Linked DNA regions of Daphnia pulex. The protein of the gene in region 1 purifies or fractionates together with the protein of each later gene. This does not show direct contact. Links are inferred from orthologs where the notes say so. Each region holds a gene or a part of one and is shown in the gene's direction. Other genes may lie near its edges. The genes, in order: selenoprotein S-like, derlin-2-like and derlin-1-like.

What was found.
Region 2: the proteins of selenoprotein S-like (region 1) and derlin-2-like purify together in Homo sapiens (affinity purification with western blotting; 3 studies listed by BioGRID and IntAct, with this or other methods). This does not show direct contact. The link is inferred for Daphnia pulex from reciprocal best matches to the Homo sapiens genes SELENOS and DERL2.
Region 3: the proteins of selenoprotein S-like (region 1) and derlin-1-like purify together in Homo sapiens (affinity purification with western blotting; 6 studies listed by BioGRID and IntAct, with this or other methods). This does not show direct contact. The link is inferred for Daphnia pulex from reciprocal best matches to the Homo sapiens genes SELENOS and DERL1.

The regions. Positions count from the first base shown.
Region 1 is NC_060021.1:7,800,377-7,806,217, forward strand, and holds selenoprotein S-like, read left to right. Parts: upstream 1-2,551; 5' UTR 2,552-2,664; coding exon 2,665-2,788; intron 2,789-2,854; coding exon 2,855-2,980; intron 2,981-3,048; coding exon 3,049-3,155; intron 3,156-3,217; coding exon 3,218-3,374; exon of another isoform or gene 3,375-3,477; coding exon 3,478-3,560; 3' UTR 3,561-3,904; downstream 3,905-5,841. Other genes in the region: uncharacterized protein LOC124194966, read right to left, coding at 438-1,680, 1,739-1,815; CB1 cannabinoid receptor-interacting protein 1-like, read right to left, coding at 4,143-4,307, 4,511-4,664. UniProt on the Homo sapiens protein: Involved in the degradation process of misfolded endoplasmic reticulum (ER) luminal proteins. Participates in the transfer of misfolded proteins from the ER to the cytosol, where they are destroyed by the proteasome in a ubiquitin-dependent manner.
Region 2 is NC_060027.1:834,391-840,902, forward strand, and holds derlin-2-like, read left to right. Parts: upstream 1-2,309; 5' UTR 2,310-2,454; intron 2,455-2,517; exon of another isoform or gene 2,518-2,546; 5' UTR 2,547-2,656; coding exon 2,657-2,749; intron 2,750-2,812; coding exon 2,813-2,878; intron 2,879-2,936; coding exon 2,937-3,104; intron 3,105-3,174; coding exon 3,175-3,297; intron 3,298-3,385; coding exon 3,386-3,549; intron 3,550-3,634; coding exon 3,635-3,782; 3' UTR 3,783-4,469; downstream 4,470-6,512. Other genes in the region: high-affinity choline transporter 1-like, read right to left, coding at 1-15, 74-222, 292-459, 534-644, 733-931; transmembrane protein 17B-like, read left to right, coding at 5,359-5,470, 5,559-5,662, 5,733-6,044.
Region 3 is NC_060018.1:4,693,390-4,699,003, reverse strand, and holds derlin-1-like, read left to right. Parts: upstream 1-2,881; 5' UTR 2,882-2,997; coding exon 2,998-3,150; intron 3,151-3,215; coding exon 3,216-3,419; intron 3,420-3,504; coding exon 3,505-3,653; intron 3,654-3,710; coding exon 3,711-3,821; intron 3,822-3,880; coding exon 3,881-4,028; 3' UTR 4,029-4,169; downstream 4,170-5,614. Other genes in the region: dnaJ homolog dnj-5-like, read left to right, coding at 1-805, 899-930, 997-1,322, 1,382-1,725, 1,786-1,917, 2,005-2,109; MPN domain-containing protein-like, read right to left, coding at 4,273-4,539, 4,609-5,093, 5,157-5,326, 5,403-5,614. UniProt on the Homo sapiens protein: Functional component of endoplasmic reticulum-associated degradation (ERAD) for misfolded lumenal proteins. Forms homotetramers which encircle a large channel traversing the endoplasmic reticulum (ER) membrane.

The DNA.
Region 1 (5,841 bases):
CAAGAAATTGATACGTTAACGGTTAACAGTTAGTACGAAAGTGGGATGTGCTACTCACTAATGTCCTATTTCTAGTTCGTCTGTCCGCTCATAACTCCGGGGTTTGAACTGGGAGGAATTTCACTTTGATATGCGACAACTGATTAATGTATTTGCACTGAAAATTAAGCAGCACCCCACATTTTAAATAGAATGAAAATACCTTTTGGCGGACGTTTTTATCGCGTATTTTATCTTTTTTTTTCTTCTGACACTTGGGACTTTATTCAAGCCAAACGTGGTAAAGTTAAAGAACATTTAAACTTATCAATAAGATAAAAGTTGAATTCATTGCAAGCTAATATATGGTGTATTTGTGCGCAGTGCGTTGTAAAACAAGCTGCTAAAAATGGAATATCGAATATTCATAAAACTACGGTCATAAAAAGTTATCAAGATCAATATTCTCTGCAATCAAAAAATTCCAGATCGTCCAATTTTTGAGTTTCTTCCATCTTTTGCGAATTTACTTCCGCAATATCACTTGACTTATTGAGCTGTTCCTCTTTCTCTCCAGTCTCGTTCGAAGTACATTTGATCTCCTCTTCAAGATCATCGGCCATTTTCCGTAGCTCCTGTACGGTTGGTGTCGCTCCCGTTTCTTTGCAAATGTTGACCATGTGGATTACATCAATCACGATAAATACGGCGGTTAAGGCACCTGCTGCGGTCCGGGCAGCTTTTGACATGACCATGGGCGTTCCTTTGAAAGCAGACATGAGATCAGCTGCTGTAGCACCGGTAGTCGTTGTCACTCTCGCTGCTGCTGCTGAGCCCGCGTAAATCATGGCTAGTCTTGCCAATTCCGGTCTTTTAAAGTAGTTTAAGAAAGCAGCTATGGCTTGTTTGATACTACGAATTTGACTTATTAAAAGGGTGCAGATTTCAGCCAAAGCGTGTAGAGATTCAGGATTCAATGGTAAAGGCAGTTTTTGAATCAGGCACTTGATTTCGGGGTCTACAACGTGATTTACCGCTCGACTGATCTGAGCATAATCTCCATTTAAAGCGTGAGTTATTAATTTTTGAAATGTTGTCAACAACAGCATCCATTTTTGTTCACAGAGTTTGCCTAGCATCTCCAATGTTGGGCGAAATCGAGTGGCACGGACCAAGTACTTTGAGTCAGACGATGAGAGTTTTTCGAGGTGTAGCAAGTGTTCACCCAGTTCCTTTTTTAAAGATGTGAGCTCCTTTTTAGACAAGAAATAACCGGTAATGTTAGCTCCTGCGGATGTTATTCCGCTCAAGATTCCAGTCGTTGTTCCTGCAACAGTCAGGCCAAGAGAGATTCCAGCAGTAAACGGAGCAGCGACTAATCCTCCAATGACAAGGAGTCCTGATCCAATACCGACACCTGTGCCAACACGATCGGCGATTAAAACGTCATTGTGAGTTTTTTCCAGATAGTCGGCCATGTCCCTCAATCTCTTGATAATTCTTTGTCTTTCACGAAAAACGTCTTCTGAGAGTTCTTGAAGCATTTTCAGATTAGTCAGTTCATTTGGGAGGTGTTGTAAAGTGTCAAAAATGGTTAGACTCTCAGATTCTGGGGAAGCATGTTCTGTGTCAGTTGTTCGAATAGCATATTTCACACTCTCTGATGTACCAACTTTAACACCCTCTTGCCATGCTGAATTTCTAAATCGGACAAAGAATAATTGTGGGATACAATTTTGGTTATTTTAAAAAGCAATACCTGTTTGACTGTGTTGTCTGGTTTTGAATTTTCCCAGTAGCAGATGAGATGTCAGAGACAGAATTAGTATTACCCATCTGAAATTTTTTTGAAATCTTTTGTTGAAATATCTAGGAAGAACATAAATATCAGAAGCTTACTCTTTGATTGAGGAAATAATAATGGCAGGGCTGACAAAAAAAGAGCTTTGTTTGTTGGACTAACTGAACACGGGATCTTCATTAGATTTCCTCGAAATGTTTATTGCCATTTGCCAAACGTAAAATCTTTCTGCTGGATAGGACACGCCTGTCCAGAGAACCTTGAGAATTTTGCTGATGTGAATAATATCCGGTTGCTACGCTTATTTTGACATTTCGAAATTCCATAATAAAAACAAAAGCTGACAGGTAGTCCATTTGGCAAGTCCTAGATGGCGTTTATCGAAAACGACCCCACATTTGAGTTTCGAGAAAAACACAAAAGTTGTTGTTTTGTTTCACCGTTTAATATTTAAATTTCAAATACCGATGGCTTTTTTGTTGCTCATTGGTAAATTGGAACGTTTATCCTGTCGTTGCGTATTGCCCTAAGTCTACCAGAAGGTTGGTGTGAACCATGATCTATAAACTGGTTTACTATAAACCTAGGCACCTATTTTCTATTAACCAGTTTATAGACCATGGTGTGAACCTTGGACAAAAATCTTGTATATTTCGGCCTTTCGCAACATTCGAACGACGATGCTCATTGCGTTATTGCGTTACATACCCAGAGGCTTGAGATTTTTTAAATTTCATTCCTAGATGGCATAGGTATCGCTGTTTCTGGGAAGAAAATATACAAGTATTATTTTCCGCAGACAACATTTACCATTTAGTGACTAGGCATTCGTCAGCAACAAGAGCGATGGTTGTTGTAGATTATTTGTTTTAAAAAAAGTGAAAATGACAGAATCGGACGAATGGGCTACGGTTGAGACCGTAGTTGACGAGGAATTGGATAGTAATCACCACGAAACTATCCACAAGCAGGGACCAAGTGGCATTGAACAGGGTATTTTAGAGAAAAGTAGGTTAACTTGTATGGTTTCAGTAACATTACGAAAACTTCATTTGTTTTTACATATTTTTGCAGTTCTTTTCATCCTCAGTAATACCAATCCATGGCTACTTCTTTTTATTGTGGTTGGTATTTATTACCTTGTGCAGAAGTTTTGGTTTTCTTCTCAAAGGACCAGCTCAGATGAATATTCAACTTTTAGTAAGAATCAAGTTGCTTGATTAAACATAAAAGGAAATGGCTTTGGGCTAATGAATTTTTCAATACAGGCTCAGAAGAGATCCTTGCAAGGCAAGAGGCTGTCGAGCTAGCTAGAAGACAAATGCAAGAACAGTATGATAAAAAAGCTAGAGAACACGCCATAAAGCAAAAGGAGGTCTGTCATTTTCACTTATAACAAGTTCATGGTGTTTGATGTGTTTCTCTGTAATTGTTTAGAAAGAGGAACTCTTACGCCAAGAGAAGTTAAAGAACTTGGAGAAATACGGAACCAAGTTGGGTAGAAGCAGTAAAACACTTGCAGCAGAAACGAGTAATGATCAGCTGCAACAGAGTATAATAAAAAAGAAATCTGACAAATCTAAGTTGAAGCCAGGTAAAATTTATTGTTTTGAAGCATCCAACAAATTGTATTCTAGAACAGGCAGTTTTCTTTTTTAACATTAACACGCACACAAATTATGATTCGATCCAAACAGAGTACAATCCATTGATGGGGGATGGAAGCAGTGGCGTCTGCTACCGTCCGACTAGGCGTGGAGGAGGAGCTGGAGGTGGATGAGGTTAAAATTCGGAGTGGATATGTGCTGCGGGTGTAGTCCTTCTGCCGCAATTATATGATCGCTCTCGGGCTCTTTGTCTTCCTGCCAATGGCGAAATGAAGTTGTTCAGTAGAGTTTTTCCTTGTTGCTCAGATTAGTGTTATGCCCGTGTTAACAGCTCCTCTTCATTGACGTAACCCCCTTCCTTTCGGTGACACGCTGAAAAAGTGTTGCAATCCTTTTAAAGATTTTTCACTTGAATGATGAAACCTTTGGCGTAAATGACTTAATTTGTCATGGTTGAGGGTTGATGTAACAGCGTTCTTCGCCGCTTGGCGGGTCCAATAAATAAATTAAACAACAATCAATCAATCAACATTCAAAAATAGAGACACGCTACTTGACTCATTTGATCATAATTTGCACTAAATTGTCGTTTTTTAAACGGATGAGATCTCGTTGTTCTCTGGAAATCTGATTCGTAGAGACAGGGGGAAACAAAACAAAATTTAAATTGCGTTAAGCTTCAACATGTAAGTGGTCGTTTTTCAGGACGATCGAAGACATCTTGTTGTTTGTCCGACTTCCTCTTTGAATGAACTTTATCGGAAAGTATCTTTGACGATTTTAATGCTGTTGTTTTGCTGGTCAGTGTGACATTCGTACTCGATGGAGTGAACGGTCGTGCCCCAGTCGCAATGTTGGGTACTGTTTGCTTTATAGATTTTGATCTGCAAGGTCGTAGTGAACTCGTAACCGCCGTCCAACTAGAAAGGCAAACAAAGCGATAGATTGCATGAGCAGTTGACAGCGAGTAAAGTCAGGCTCGTTCAAGAAAATCCATCACGGGCCGCACAGTACACATCCCCCGGAATGCGCTATCAGTCCCACGAGATGAAATGAGCAATACGGAGGGTATGTCAACTGTCGGCTCGTGACAAGGGTATAAATGATCGGACACAGTATTTACCTTCACATGCAAGGAAACCGATTCCCTTTGTCCTTTCTTTGATGGTTGCAGATTGTCTAGCTGGAATTGGGCCGAATAGCTGGAAGCGTTTTCATCTTCCAGTTTGGATGAGTTGTCAGTTACTTCAAGCGATTTTTCCATCACGGCGATCCCCCTGCAATTCATTTGATTTGGAAGAAAAATAGGGTTAAAAGAAAGATTTCCCCCTTTTTTTTTTCTTATTCCTCTTTTTTTTATATAGAAGCAACAGCCGGCCATGCTTTCTATTGGGTATACTGCACTTTGTTGTTGCCAATAAAGCGTAGTTAGAAGCCACCAGAATCGCCGGGCGTATGGACTAAACGAGCAGGACGGAAGCAGCGAAAAACACTTCGTCAGGGAACATAGTAGATCGTTACGGACGGTGAAACAGGGGGGAATAACAGCCAGCAGCTTAATGATCCATAAATGGGGAAGATGGAAAAAAGAATGACGATGAAGATCGAAAAAACTAAAAGAAAGAACAAAATAAAAGAAAAAAAAAGGAAAAGAAAGAATGGGGGGAAATCAAACGAATAGAAAAGGCAACTGAGTATCGATTTTGACGTCCCTCTGCGACTCATAAGTCACCAAAACTCTTTTTCTCTTTCTTTCTCTTGTTATTTGTCGTACCGGATGTTACTAGATCTAGTAAGGCTAACGAATCGTTTTAAATCCAAGTCCATCTCCTTCGTTTTGCGGCTCGTAACGGCAGCAACAATCTTGTTGTTTCTCCGAGTCTAATAATTAGAGTCACCTACACCCAGAGCCGTAAGCCCATCGAGAGATTAAGTGGAGAAAGGCCTCTGCGGTCGCAAAATTGCTGTCGGACGCTAGTCCACCGTCATTTCGCCTTAATGTGTTTATGTTGAGTGACTTGGTGATGATTTTAATGATTGCCGATGGATCCTAGGCGGCTGGCGAGGCGACGCCGAAAAGCGTGAAATTAAAACAAAAACAAAAAAAAATCGTTCTCTAAACATTCGGCCGCTAAATTTAGTACCGGAACCCATCTTTTCGCTCGAGTGCCTAGAAATAGATTTACGTTCTCGAGAACTAGGCAGCGTGAAATTTAGTGATTATCGAAATTGATTAGCCACTTCTTCTTTGCGGGCTGCGGTTCCTTCGAAATTTTCCATCATTTTAGCCGGCCGTTCGTTTTAGACGGCGACGTTTCAAGAGGTTAATGTAAAAATCGATCGATGGCCGAGCACTCCTGTACGATTTTGCTGCTATATTTACGACCACTTTGGAAGGCACCGGGATTCTAACGAAGTCAACGTAAGCGACCTGTTTTCTTCGCCCCCCTTGAT
Region 2 (6,512 bases), on another chromosome or scaffold:
CGGAATGCAGAATACCTATGATTGCAACGAGAAATTCAGTCAACTGAATGTTGGATTTGAAAAATGGAAATACCAGGCCAAAGAGAACACATCCCAGTTGAATGACGTCAGTATAGGCCACGCTGTAAAGGCCTCCAATCAAGGTGTAAGTAACAGCCACAGCAGCACTTATGATTATCGACAGAGTATTGTCCAGTCCCAGCATGACGGTGAAAATGGATCCTATTGCATAATGCTAAAATTAAAACATTTTGACAGCCAACATTTAAAAAAGTTTTTCTAATGCGTCACCAAGGGCCGACAGGATAGCAGCGGACCAGAATATCTCCCCGCACAGGGCCGGCAAAAACAATAGCCCACCAATACGTGAGCCGTATTTTTCCTGGAAGGGATCGAGCATGGTAACATATCCTCGACCTCCGTGGGCCATTCGCATGGGTTTAGCGAAAAACATTCCACCTTTTTATCCAAAGAATAAAAATGATGAAACATGATTTACTATAGACACACTAATGAGGCAAACACACACACACCAAGTAAGAGGCTCATGGAATATCCGATCGCCATTGTAGAGCATTTTAGAAAGCCACCAGTGAAGGCGCTTTCACAGGTGCCGTTGATGTAACCTCCTGCTACCCACGTCGCTGTCGTAGTTGTTGTTGTTTAAACCTGCTTGTTGGAAACCAAATCTACCCCTCTTGTATACTGAATCGGGACAACACTCATCGTTACCCGTCATCGTCAGGACTCCGACGAACAATCCCATATCACGTCCGGCCAGCATTATGTTCTCCGACAGGTTAGCACCGCTTTCCATCCGCTGTAGCTGTTTAAATTTCCTCTTTTCCTTCCATCCTACCCAAATTCCAACGGCCAGGATCAAACAGTAGAAGAAAGCCACAGAGATGACGCCACCGATATTCACGTTCATCTGTAAACAAAAAACTGGACAAGCCAAAGTGATAAATTGTCACAAGGTCAACTGAAAAGGTAAAACCGAAATATAGGGATAATAACAAAAGGCTACGACGACGATATCTTACGTTTGACGGCGTCGCTATAACTTATCACTCGGCCAGTCTAGTCAGACAGCAAAAACCGATTGGAGAGCCAGGCGTAGGTGCGACTGCAGCCGATGTTCCTCACTCTATATGACTGCGCACGTGCGGCGGATGTTCAGCGTCGCGACGATATGGTTGAAAATGATACACATCTGTCACGTGATCTTTTGGTCGTCAAACGAGACACTAGATTGTCTTCTAGTAGTCACGGCGATGATGAGGCAAGAGAGTAATGTCTGCCCAGTTTCCTTTACTCAATTTCTTGCACTAGAGTTTTTGGTAGCAACGACCGTTGATTGGCGTACCTCTCTCGTCTAGATTTCGTGCTCCTATAAAAGTAAAAACAATTCAAGATTTTACTGCAAAACGCAACAGTTGTGTAGTGAATTTTTGCATTGGGGGAGAGACGACGTGGTATAACGGGAAGTGTACTAGAGACTCAATAAAAGTGGCCTTTGGAAGAGTTAGAGGGAGAAATGAGGGTATCCCAAAAATAGAATTACAGAAGGTATGCATCTTGCTGGCCTTGTTCCAGTATACATTAATGGCTCTGCCAGAAACAAAAAAGCCTTTCAGCATCTCAAATCATTACACAACTTACTAGCTGTAGTAGAATTTACAGATAAAATAATGAAAGCTACTGCTATGTAATTTTCTATCTTATGAGAGAGCCAATTCCTTTCTTTGTATTCTTTATTACCTAATCTGTTCCTAGAAATTGATACATGAATTGTGGTCGGTCAACATGTACCAGGCTATAGTAAAAAGAAAACACACTCATCGAATAATTATGTAAGAGTAAAATACTTGTTTTGTGATGTGAAGATGGTTGCTCAATCACCTATCCCAGCATGAACTGTTACTCAAGTTGCATATATCCTTTCACATTAAGAAGAATTTAGAGTTTCACAAAAGTCAATAACCGTGGAAATTGTAGCCAACCATTTTTCAAACCAAATATACGAACTACGACACTCGACCATGTGTTTTTGTTTTATCTGCAAGACTGCACTGAATGCACCTACTTCCAGTTTCATCATCTCCCTCCCAATAATAAATAAAGTAGAAGATGGATGATTTATCGCCAAGACCCGAAATGAAAAATAAAAACTAGGGGTTACGTCAACAAATTCAATTTAGTCAAAATAAACTGAGGTTCCAACGGTTCAAATCACTCGAATCTTGGATGGAATAATAATCAAAAAGTTGTCTGCTACATCAAAAGAGGCGCCATTTACACCGTTGCAATAGCAACCAAAAATTGATCTTTGGAATTCCCTTTTTTTGACATTTCCGTTTCTGCTGTAGCCTCTACAAATTGTCCACGTCGACCAAGGGGGGTTTGTTAAAAGAAAAAATAAACAAACCAATTTGACTCTTGGGAAAAACGATGGTTGGTAGTGTTTCGCGAAATCCTTACATTTTTGGATAAATCGTTTCTTGATTGTATTTCTAGGTATTCATAAATTGTTTTTCTTATTTGAGGTTCGTGTTTGAGCTGGTCATAGTCCTTTGTATACAATAACAGTATACAATTTAAGTGATAAAACATCATCTTAGTTGACTGTTGATGAAATCAATTACAAGAAAGCACCATGGCTTACCACACATTACGCCAAGAGTATATGTTGATGCCTCCAGTAACTCGGGCATACACCACTGTTTGCTTGCTCACTTCAATTGCAGTGGTAAGTAACACTCGAAACTTTGAAAGGGACTCAGTAATCGACTGCAAAACATTTCCTTTTCAGCAACTGGATGTGGTGTCACCTTTTCAACTGTATTTCAATCCTTTGCTCATCACTCAAAAGTTTGAGGTAATAGGATTGGTTTGCTTTTGTATGGTAGCCAAATCATGTAATCTTGTATTTGCAGATATGGAGGCTACTGACTCCATTCTTCTTTTTTGGGACATTCAGCTTCAATTTTCTGTTCAACATGATTTTTACCTATCGCTATTGTAGAATGTTGGAGGAGGGTTCATTCAGAGGTAGAACAGCTGATTTTGTTTACATGTTCATATTTGGCTGCATCACAACAGTGGTAATTATGAAAATTTGCATGAATTCCTGTTTCAAGTTTTTTTAACTATTTGCTTTTCTCATGTTTTTAGATATGTGCTTGGTTTGTAAATTTATTGTTCCTTGGACATTCGCTCACCACGATGTTCGTCTATATTTGGGCTCGGAGAAATCCTTACGTTAGGATGAATTTCTTCGGCCTTCTACCTTTTCGAGTAAATAGGACAAAGCAACTGCAAAATTCAAAACACCCTGTGCGAAAATTAACCGATAATTTTTTTCTCTATCCTGACATTTTTATAGGCCCCATATTTGCCTTGGGTTCTCGTGGCTTTTTCAGTTCTTTTAGGCAATAGCGTATTGGTGGACATTCTCGGGATCGCCATCGGTCACTTGTATTTCTTCCTGGAAGATGTGTTTCCTAATCAGCCTGGAGGCAGAAGACTCTTGGCCACGCCTCGTTTACTGTATGCAACAATTTGGCATTCTCGAAAAGAAAAACATCAAAGATCGGTCAAGGGGTTCACGGTTTCTTTTCTTTTCCCCCCCTAGGAAACTTTTGTTCGACACGCACACTGAAGACCCTCTTTACAATCCGGCTCCTGACGAGCGTCCTGGGGGTTTCGATTGGGGCGGTGCTGGTGCTCCGGGAGTGGCAGACGCAGTCGCCGACCAGCCGAGAGAAAACGAAAATCAGTGAGGAAAAGAAAGAAAAAAAAGAGAAACAAACACAATCGTCTTTTTGAAAAATTACTAAATGGCAAAAGAAAATACATGGAAATTTGTTTAATATACAGTTGTCGATGTTCGCCCTCATTATTCCTTCTACACAGTGGCCCGGTTTTCTTTCGCTTACCAATGACCGACTAGCATTGACATACTGCTTTGTTGCAACGTTTACAAATATCCAGCGCTTTCCCCTTTCTCCTTTTATGGCCATCTTTTAACCGTGTCAAGTTTACACGCAATCAACCGTACTCGTAGTGTCCATAGTGCAGTTCTTCGCCCATCCAACTCGAACATTTTGGGAACACACAATCAAAATCGGAGCGCACTAGATAATGAATTAATATTCTATTGATGTGAATAAACAAGACTATTCCCTTTTTCGCTAGCTCAGAGATGAAGGGGAGGCGGACCGACCATAAGTCAATCTGAGATAACCGATTGCGAATTCTAGTGAAAAGGTTCTTTGAACGTCCAAGTTTGCACCGAGCGCACAGCGATTTTGTTTCAAGCCAACAAATAGGAAGGAGCAGTTGTCAACCTTGAAAATGATACATTCCCATCTGAAGCATAAATGTCCAAAAAACTCGATTGCATTACGACGCCTTGTTTGTAGTGAATGCGCCAAAGATTTCCAAATACACAACTTGAAGGTCGCAAATCTGTCAAACTAACAAGACTTGCTATTTGTTTGGAGTCATTTGATTTTCTAATCCTGACCTGCTACAGAGATGATGCTGCATTGGGAAAGGCTTATGCTACAGCGAGTTCACTGCCCTGATCACACACGCAGTCCTCAATTTTGTTTTGTTTCTTCAAGGATCTTTTGAACTGCTTAAAGATGTTTAGTCCACCAGATAGTGGAAGCAGATACTGGAGTTGGGAATGTTATAGTCTAGAATTGAAGAGATAAGTAGAAATCAAACCTGCACGATGACGAAAGAAATCAAATAAATTTAGTTGAAATTGACTCTTGTATACATAAATCTAATTAAGAAACAGACAACTTAGGCATTATTTTTTCTTTCCTTCTCCTCAAGTAGTCTGAGATATTCCCGTTCCTCTTTCTCCTTCATTTGGCGAATGGTGTCCTCAAACATCTTTTTGTTCACCCTGCTTTCGGCAGGGTACATTTCTCTCCTCAGATTGATCATCCAATCTTCAAAATACTCTGCCTGGTTAAAGTAATAGAAACAACCAACTGGGAAAATCATGTACATCCCCATTTTGGCTGCTTCCAGTTGCCAGTTTCCCATGTTTGGATTGTGAAACCTGGACAAGAAAGATGAAAAATAATTTTCCAGCCATCGATCCTACAAGTTTTTTCACAGCTTACTTGCTCTAATATAATCGCCAAGTATTTTATTCACAAAACAAGTTTGTACGTGTACCACACAGCACATGTAATACTGTGACGGGAGAAAGTCACGAATGAAAACAGCTGAGTTGTTCTGCTAGAGTCGTTGCCATGGCGCCCAGTTTGAAATGCCCAAAACAATCGGCTGTCATTTCGTTCATAGCCAAAAGCCATCGTCGAAAGCGATGAAATAATGGGAAGACAATCAGTTCAAAATGTTGTGGATTCTTTCAGCGATAGAATATTTCCAGGTCTGTCGGATATACCTCAAGATTTCTCATTCGTATCGGGTCAAAGTGACATAGGTAACTTCAATTCTTCTCAAATCATTCAAGTTCTATCTATTGCGTCTCGTACTTTATGCTAAACGTTTGATTGTTTTATGGAGCAAAGTTTATGATGTCCAATCAAGTTTGGTACTGCAAATGTCACTATACTTCAACTTGGTCTACTACCCAGTGTGGCTGGCGATCATCCTGGCATCATTTGTGGCAAAGGTATTTACATAATACGAAGAAAAAGTCATTGTCTTACATTTCACTCATCATCTCTTGCTACATTTGGCAGCACCAATGTTTTGGCTGGTTCTCGTATCTCCTTCTTGGAATTGGAGTCTCTGCCTGCTGTGTGACGGAAGCCACCAGGATCTACTTGGGCATGTCTGGCAACCTGAGCGAGCAAGTGGCAGAGCTGTCCACCTTCTGGTTCACCACACTCCTGGTCCAGCTGCCACTTGTGACAATCATCCTGATCGTGGCACTCAGCCTGAGCCAGATCCTGGAGATTGTCGCCTTGTCCATCTCCAGTCTCCTGATGGCAGTCCAGCTGTGTGTCTCGTTCGCCACACTTCGTAACGTGGCCCGCCTTCGCCAATTTTAGAAACCTTGAGCCAGGCGAGAGAGAAACTATACCTCTACGTCTCTCTCTCTCTCTCTCTTACTTTAATTTCCACCTCGTGTCGACAGGTTTTTCTTTCGTTATAAAAGCGCATCAGGGTTCTGTGTGAGACGACGAAAAAGAATCAGATAGACAGAGAGAGAGATGAAAATGAAAATGAAAAAGAGAGAGAGAGAACTCTTTTGGTAGTATCTATATGCACGCGAACCGCTCGCTGGAATTTTGTTGGGGTTTTTTCTTCTTTTTTCTGGCGAGTGACCAGCGACCTTGACATGGCGGAATGAAACACACACACACACAGACTCCGACTACTACGACTACTACCACACTAAACTATACTCAACAAATAAGCAGCAACCAAATAAGTGAAAGGAGGTCCGATGAGTCAGAGAATCTCACAGGATCGCCACAGAAGAAGAAGAAGAAGAAGAACATCCAAATGGTGTTTGG
Region 3 (5,614 bases), on another chromosome or scaffold:
AAGATGTTTAAGAAGATTCAATTCTGATATACCCTCTTACTGTGACTTTGGAACTTACAACCCATTTCAAGGTAGCCCCCTAGAAATTGCCAACTTGAGCCTTCTAGAAACTCGACCCGTGTTGGAAGAGCAAGTTCAACATATTACTGAACCAACATACGAGTCTGAACTGCTGCAGGAAGAACCTGCTGAAGTAGTTCAAAGTAAACGCACTTATAAAGATGTTCTCACTTTCGCAACAAGAAGTGAAAGCCCTGGCAATGTGAGTGAAGAGCTGTCCAAGAAATCAAAAGTGGAAAATGAAATTCGCAAAGAAACTTATAAAGAAAAGTTATTGAGTCCAAAACAAGAAACACCATCCAGTTTTACTAAAGCAACACCACCCCCAGTGAAACCTGGTTTAAACAATCACAGAAGCCAAGTCAATACTAACCAGAAGAGACCATTGAAAATAAACAACAATTTGGCATCTGGAAATAATACGAAAGGCAATGCCAAAAGCCCGAGCGAGAAAAATTGGCATTCTGTGAATGAATCGGTACGCAGTGTCCGGTCTCAAACAGATCTAGGTGGAATTAAAAAAAAGAACCGACCGTCTTTGATTGATAGTCCTTCTTTTGAGCTACCACCATCGGACGATGAATCCGTTACTCCAGTGGAAGTTCGCACGAAAGATCTAAAGAAGAATGAAAGGATTAAAATCAAAGTAAAAGAAAAGGACAGTGAAAAAACTAATCGACGCCAAACCAAAAGAAACCCACCTCCCAGCACCAGTGCAACACTTGCGCGTGCCTATTTCCCTAAGGTGGGTTTCTATCAATAAGGATATTCCTCCTACATTTGGCATTGCCTTCATTCATAAAATTCACAAATTCTTCTTTTACTTTTAAAATTACAGCTTGCTCGTTTCTGTGGATGGTTCTTCTTGTGGTAATATCCGTATTTATTTATATCTTGTTTGAATTTGATGTTAATTGACACCTCTCTTTTCATCAGGTTGTACAACTTGTGCGCTGACGTTATTCAGATGAGTTGCAATTTGATTTGGGTGGGACTTCAGCAATGCCGCACGGTTTTGTGGGAGAAAAGTTTCTTGGTCACTGAATGGATATCATTTCAGACACGGACTTGCCGTCAATATGTTACAACTAATTGGTTGCCGTCCATTCGTGAATTTTTCCGATTTTTTCAACGCAAATCAGCTGACGAAGGAAGCAGCACATTAGGTGGTTTAAATGCCAATATCCCTTTACCTGCTACCGGAGAAGAAGCTATGCATCGTTTATTGGCTTGCAAAGGAAGAGATCCATACAGCATCCTGGGTAATTGGATGTAGACTTCACATTTAATTGACATTTTCGCTATAGATTTTATTTCTCAGGTGTTCGACGAGATTGCTCCGACGAAGAGATTCGACGTTACTACAAGCGACAAGCTGTTTTAGTTCACCCAGATAAAAATCGACAACGGGGAGCTGAAGAGGCCTTCAAAATCTTAGCGCATGCCTTTGAATTGGTTGGTCAGCCAGAGCGACGCAGCCACTACGACCAATTAGTACAAGAAGCAGACGAGATGGAATCTGCTTGGGCCGAGCTCAACGAGCTACTCTCACGGTTGCATGCCAAAATGGACGAGGCCGCAAACACGATTCGGTGCACCAATTGTGCCAAGCGTCACAGAAGAGTGAAAACTAATCGGCCTTGCTATGCTGCTCGATATTGTCAGGTACATGTAAAGTGCGAAAATAAAAAATTTCCTTTTTTCATTCATTTTGTTTTTTAATAGGATTGCAAAATTCATCATTCCGCCCGCGAAGGGGACCTATGGGCTGAATCACGATACATGGGCTTTCGTTCTAAATACTACGCTTGCATGGAAGGTGCCGTTTATGATATCACAGAATGGGCAAATTGTCAGGTATTTTACTTCGTTTGTTCTATGTCTTGATTGTTGATTAAATTAGTATTAGGTCTTGTCTAAATGGAATAAATTTTTTAAATTTAGGCTGGACATCTTCGTCATTTGCAATCTAATTCTCATCGCGTTCAGTACCGTATAGTTCCCGGCCAAGGGCAACCGAGCAGTGGAGGTGGCCGTAAATCAAGTTGATTCTAATAAACGCCTTATTGTCTTCAAAATTATGACATTGATCATTTTTGTTGTTGTTGATTTCTATTGCTAAAGTGTCCTATCGGGTGATTTGTAACTAATACCTTTGGTGCCTTTTTTTTTCAAACAATTTTGCTTTGTCTGGTATTTGGAAATTTTCTTTTGTCGTAGAATCTCGTAACGAGGTCCCCCCCCCCCTCCCCAATGATTTGTTCCTTCCTTCCCAGTTTAATACACATGGTAACTTATCTGTGTTGCCATCAGATTAAGCATGTGTTGAGAATTTGTACAGTTTAATAAGGAAAGTTTTTGTCGACAACCCGGTATCATACGATTCCTTTGCGTGGTAAAATAGTTATTCTTCTTTTTTTCCCTTTAAAATTAATATGATTAGTTTTTATTCGACTCGTTGCAGGATGCATTTCGAATCTGGAATCTGTCTTCTACCACACATTTGCTTTCCTGCCTTTAGAAACACAAATTATGAGGAAAAACAGTCATACTCATAACGCTAATCGTTTTAAGGATTTTCTTTATCGTTGGTAGTGTATTAACTGTTTCGGTTCAACTGCGCCGAGCACTAAGGTCTTGGCGAATTAATTTTATTGAATAGAAATCAATAGTCCTATCATCATTCTAATTATACTAACCTTTTTTTTTTATTTTTATTTTATTCTTTTCCATTGGTGATTCATAGATGGCATTGGAGGGGATGACTGTGCGATTTGATTTTGGGTTTTGGCCTTGTTTTGTATTTATCCTCTAATGACACGTAAGTGTTCGTCTGCTTCGATTTGATCTTGACTTGAATTCGATTGAGATACACATTGTTCTTTGATACATTTCCTTTCAGATAATTTGGAAAAGTGGCTTGAAACCTTTTTAAAGATGAGTGAGCTAAGCAGCTGGTTCAAAAATTTGCCTATTTTCACAAGGCATTGGTTCGGACTAACTATTGCGTTGTCACTAGTTGGCAGATTTGCCATTTTGAGTCCAAAATATCTTATCTTGGATTACCATTCTATATTTGAATCATTCCATGTAATATGTTGTAGTTGAATATTTTAGAAAACATCATTCTTATTCTTAAATTGATTGTTCAATAGATATGGAGACCAGCAACAGCATTATTTTATTATCCAATAACACCAAAAACAGGATTTCACTTTCTCATCAACTTGTATTTCTTGTATAACTATTCTCTTCAACTTGAAACTGGACTGTTCAATGGGCGACAAGCTGACTACTTTTTCATGTTGCTATTCAACTGGATTTGCTGTGTCATAATTGGACTCCTAGCTGATTTTCCTGTAAGTATTTGGTTTCCTGATTCCGACTACATGTTGCTTCCTAAAAGACCTCATAATAACTACAATAACAATAATTTTTTTCTAGTATTTGATGGATCCAATGGTACTGAGTGTACTGTATGTTTGGTGTCAGCTAAATAAGGACACAATTGTCAATTTCTGGTTTGGAACACAGTTCAAGGCAATGTATCTTCCTTGGGTCTTGCTTGGATTTAACTTGATCATTGCTGGAGGGTAAAGAAACTGCAAATAATGTAATTTGTGATATACTAAATTCTTTTACTACAATAGTGGAGTCATGGAACTTGTTGGAATTGTCGTGGGACATTTATACTTTTTCCTCACGATGCAGTATCCTCAAGAATTTGGTGGTCCTTTGCTCTTAACTACTCCGCAATTCCTGTAACACGCCATTTTATTTATTTAACTTTAGCAAATATGTTAAATACTTCGTCTTTCAGATACAAATATTTTCCGAATCAACGAAGCGGAGTACAAGGATTCGGCGCGGCACCTCAACCTAGGGCTGAGTTTAGAGCAGCTGCACAGGATGCAGGTCCTCGACGCTATGACTGGGGACGTGGAAATGTTTTGGGTGGCCAAAACTAGCCTCACAATGGCCAAAATTAAACCCCGATTCTAATGTTTTGATGTGTTTATGTTAAAGAAACGATTATCGTCCCTCCTCCCATCAATTTCTGGAAAATGTATCCCTTTAATCTTAAGAGAAATTTAAATTTACTAAATTTGTCTCACTCTTTTATTCATATGTATTATTTGTACGCATGATTCCCAGATGGCTGGAATTTTGCAAAGAAAAACCTCGATTCATAGATTTCGCGATTTTCTTGTCTCACATACACGAGATTTCTTTTAGGTTGTTTTGGGGTTCAGGGTCTATAGGTTCTGCAGGAGATTTTACGTCGGTGAGATCTGTTTTCGTTTTCACTTTGGTCATGTTGCTGAGTGTGTCAACCAAATCGATAATCACATCATCTTCGCTTTGTAAGCTGGACTTCAAAGTCGCTTTCAACTTATCCAGAATCGTGAGTTCATCAGACCAGTTTTCGTCAAAATTTGTGCGGTCAGGAGAATCACGGTAAAATTTAAGGCAAGCTTCCTAATTTAGCAAAATGTTAAATAAAGATTGGTTGTAATGTCATTAGAGAACTAGTAAAGTTTGCCTTACCAATTTAGGGACTACGTCATCTTTGACGGTGGCGTCATACACAACGTTGTATTGCATGGCCATAGGACGTCCAAGTTCAAGTGGTCGAGATTCGGTAGGAGGAGACACCCAGTAGCACGTCAAGTGAGTGGTCGACGTTGATTGGCTAGGTTCCGCGTGATGGAACGGTGCTGAATAAAAAAGTAAAGTGAACAGGTAATGATAACATATAATAGTAAGGAATATTTCATTACATGAAATCATCGCTACGCAAGGTCGGTAACCTTGATCACCAGTTCCTTTGAGTTTTAATTGATACTCGAGTTGTGAATCAATATCTTGCACAGTTGGAGTGGGCGGTGATAAAGGGTGGCTATGATACCATCCTACCAAGCAAAGTCCAGCACTCTCTATTGATTGAGCGATTTTGATTTCGGTAGCTTGGCCTCGTTTATCATCAGTCGTAACTCGATTTAAACAAGGGAACGCTTGTTTAATCGTGAGTGCTAAAATGAATCACACAAATTATTGTGGGTATGTGTTTTCTAAACATATCAGTTAGCACTCACTGTTCGTGTTAATGTCCCATTGGCCTGCTAAATATCCAACAACTTCTGAACGCGTTAGAGAGCAATGAACGTCCATTACAACAAGAGCAGTCGTGTTTAACGATATTAGAAAAGGTTGAAGTTTCCCTATATTTGCGAACGATATGGCTTCAACTAACAAATTTGGATCCCTGGTAACGAAACGACAATAAGAAATAGAAACTAGAAACAAACTCCAAACTTAAAATAATTGTTTTGTCTACTTACTCGATACTTGTCCTGTTTCCTAGCGTTTCGTGCTTTATAATTTGTCGATCACCGACAGTTTGTTTCATACTCATTTGAATTACTGGTTCAGGTTCCAGCAGTACAGGCTCATTAGTGGACAAATTACAATCATCAGGAGTCGAGTTGTCGCTAACCTGTTCTAAACGTCGTTTACGCATCCATTGGTTTTTATATACATCCAAAGGCCTGCC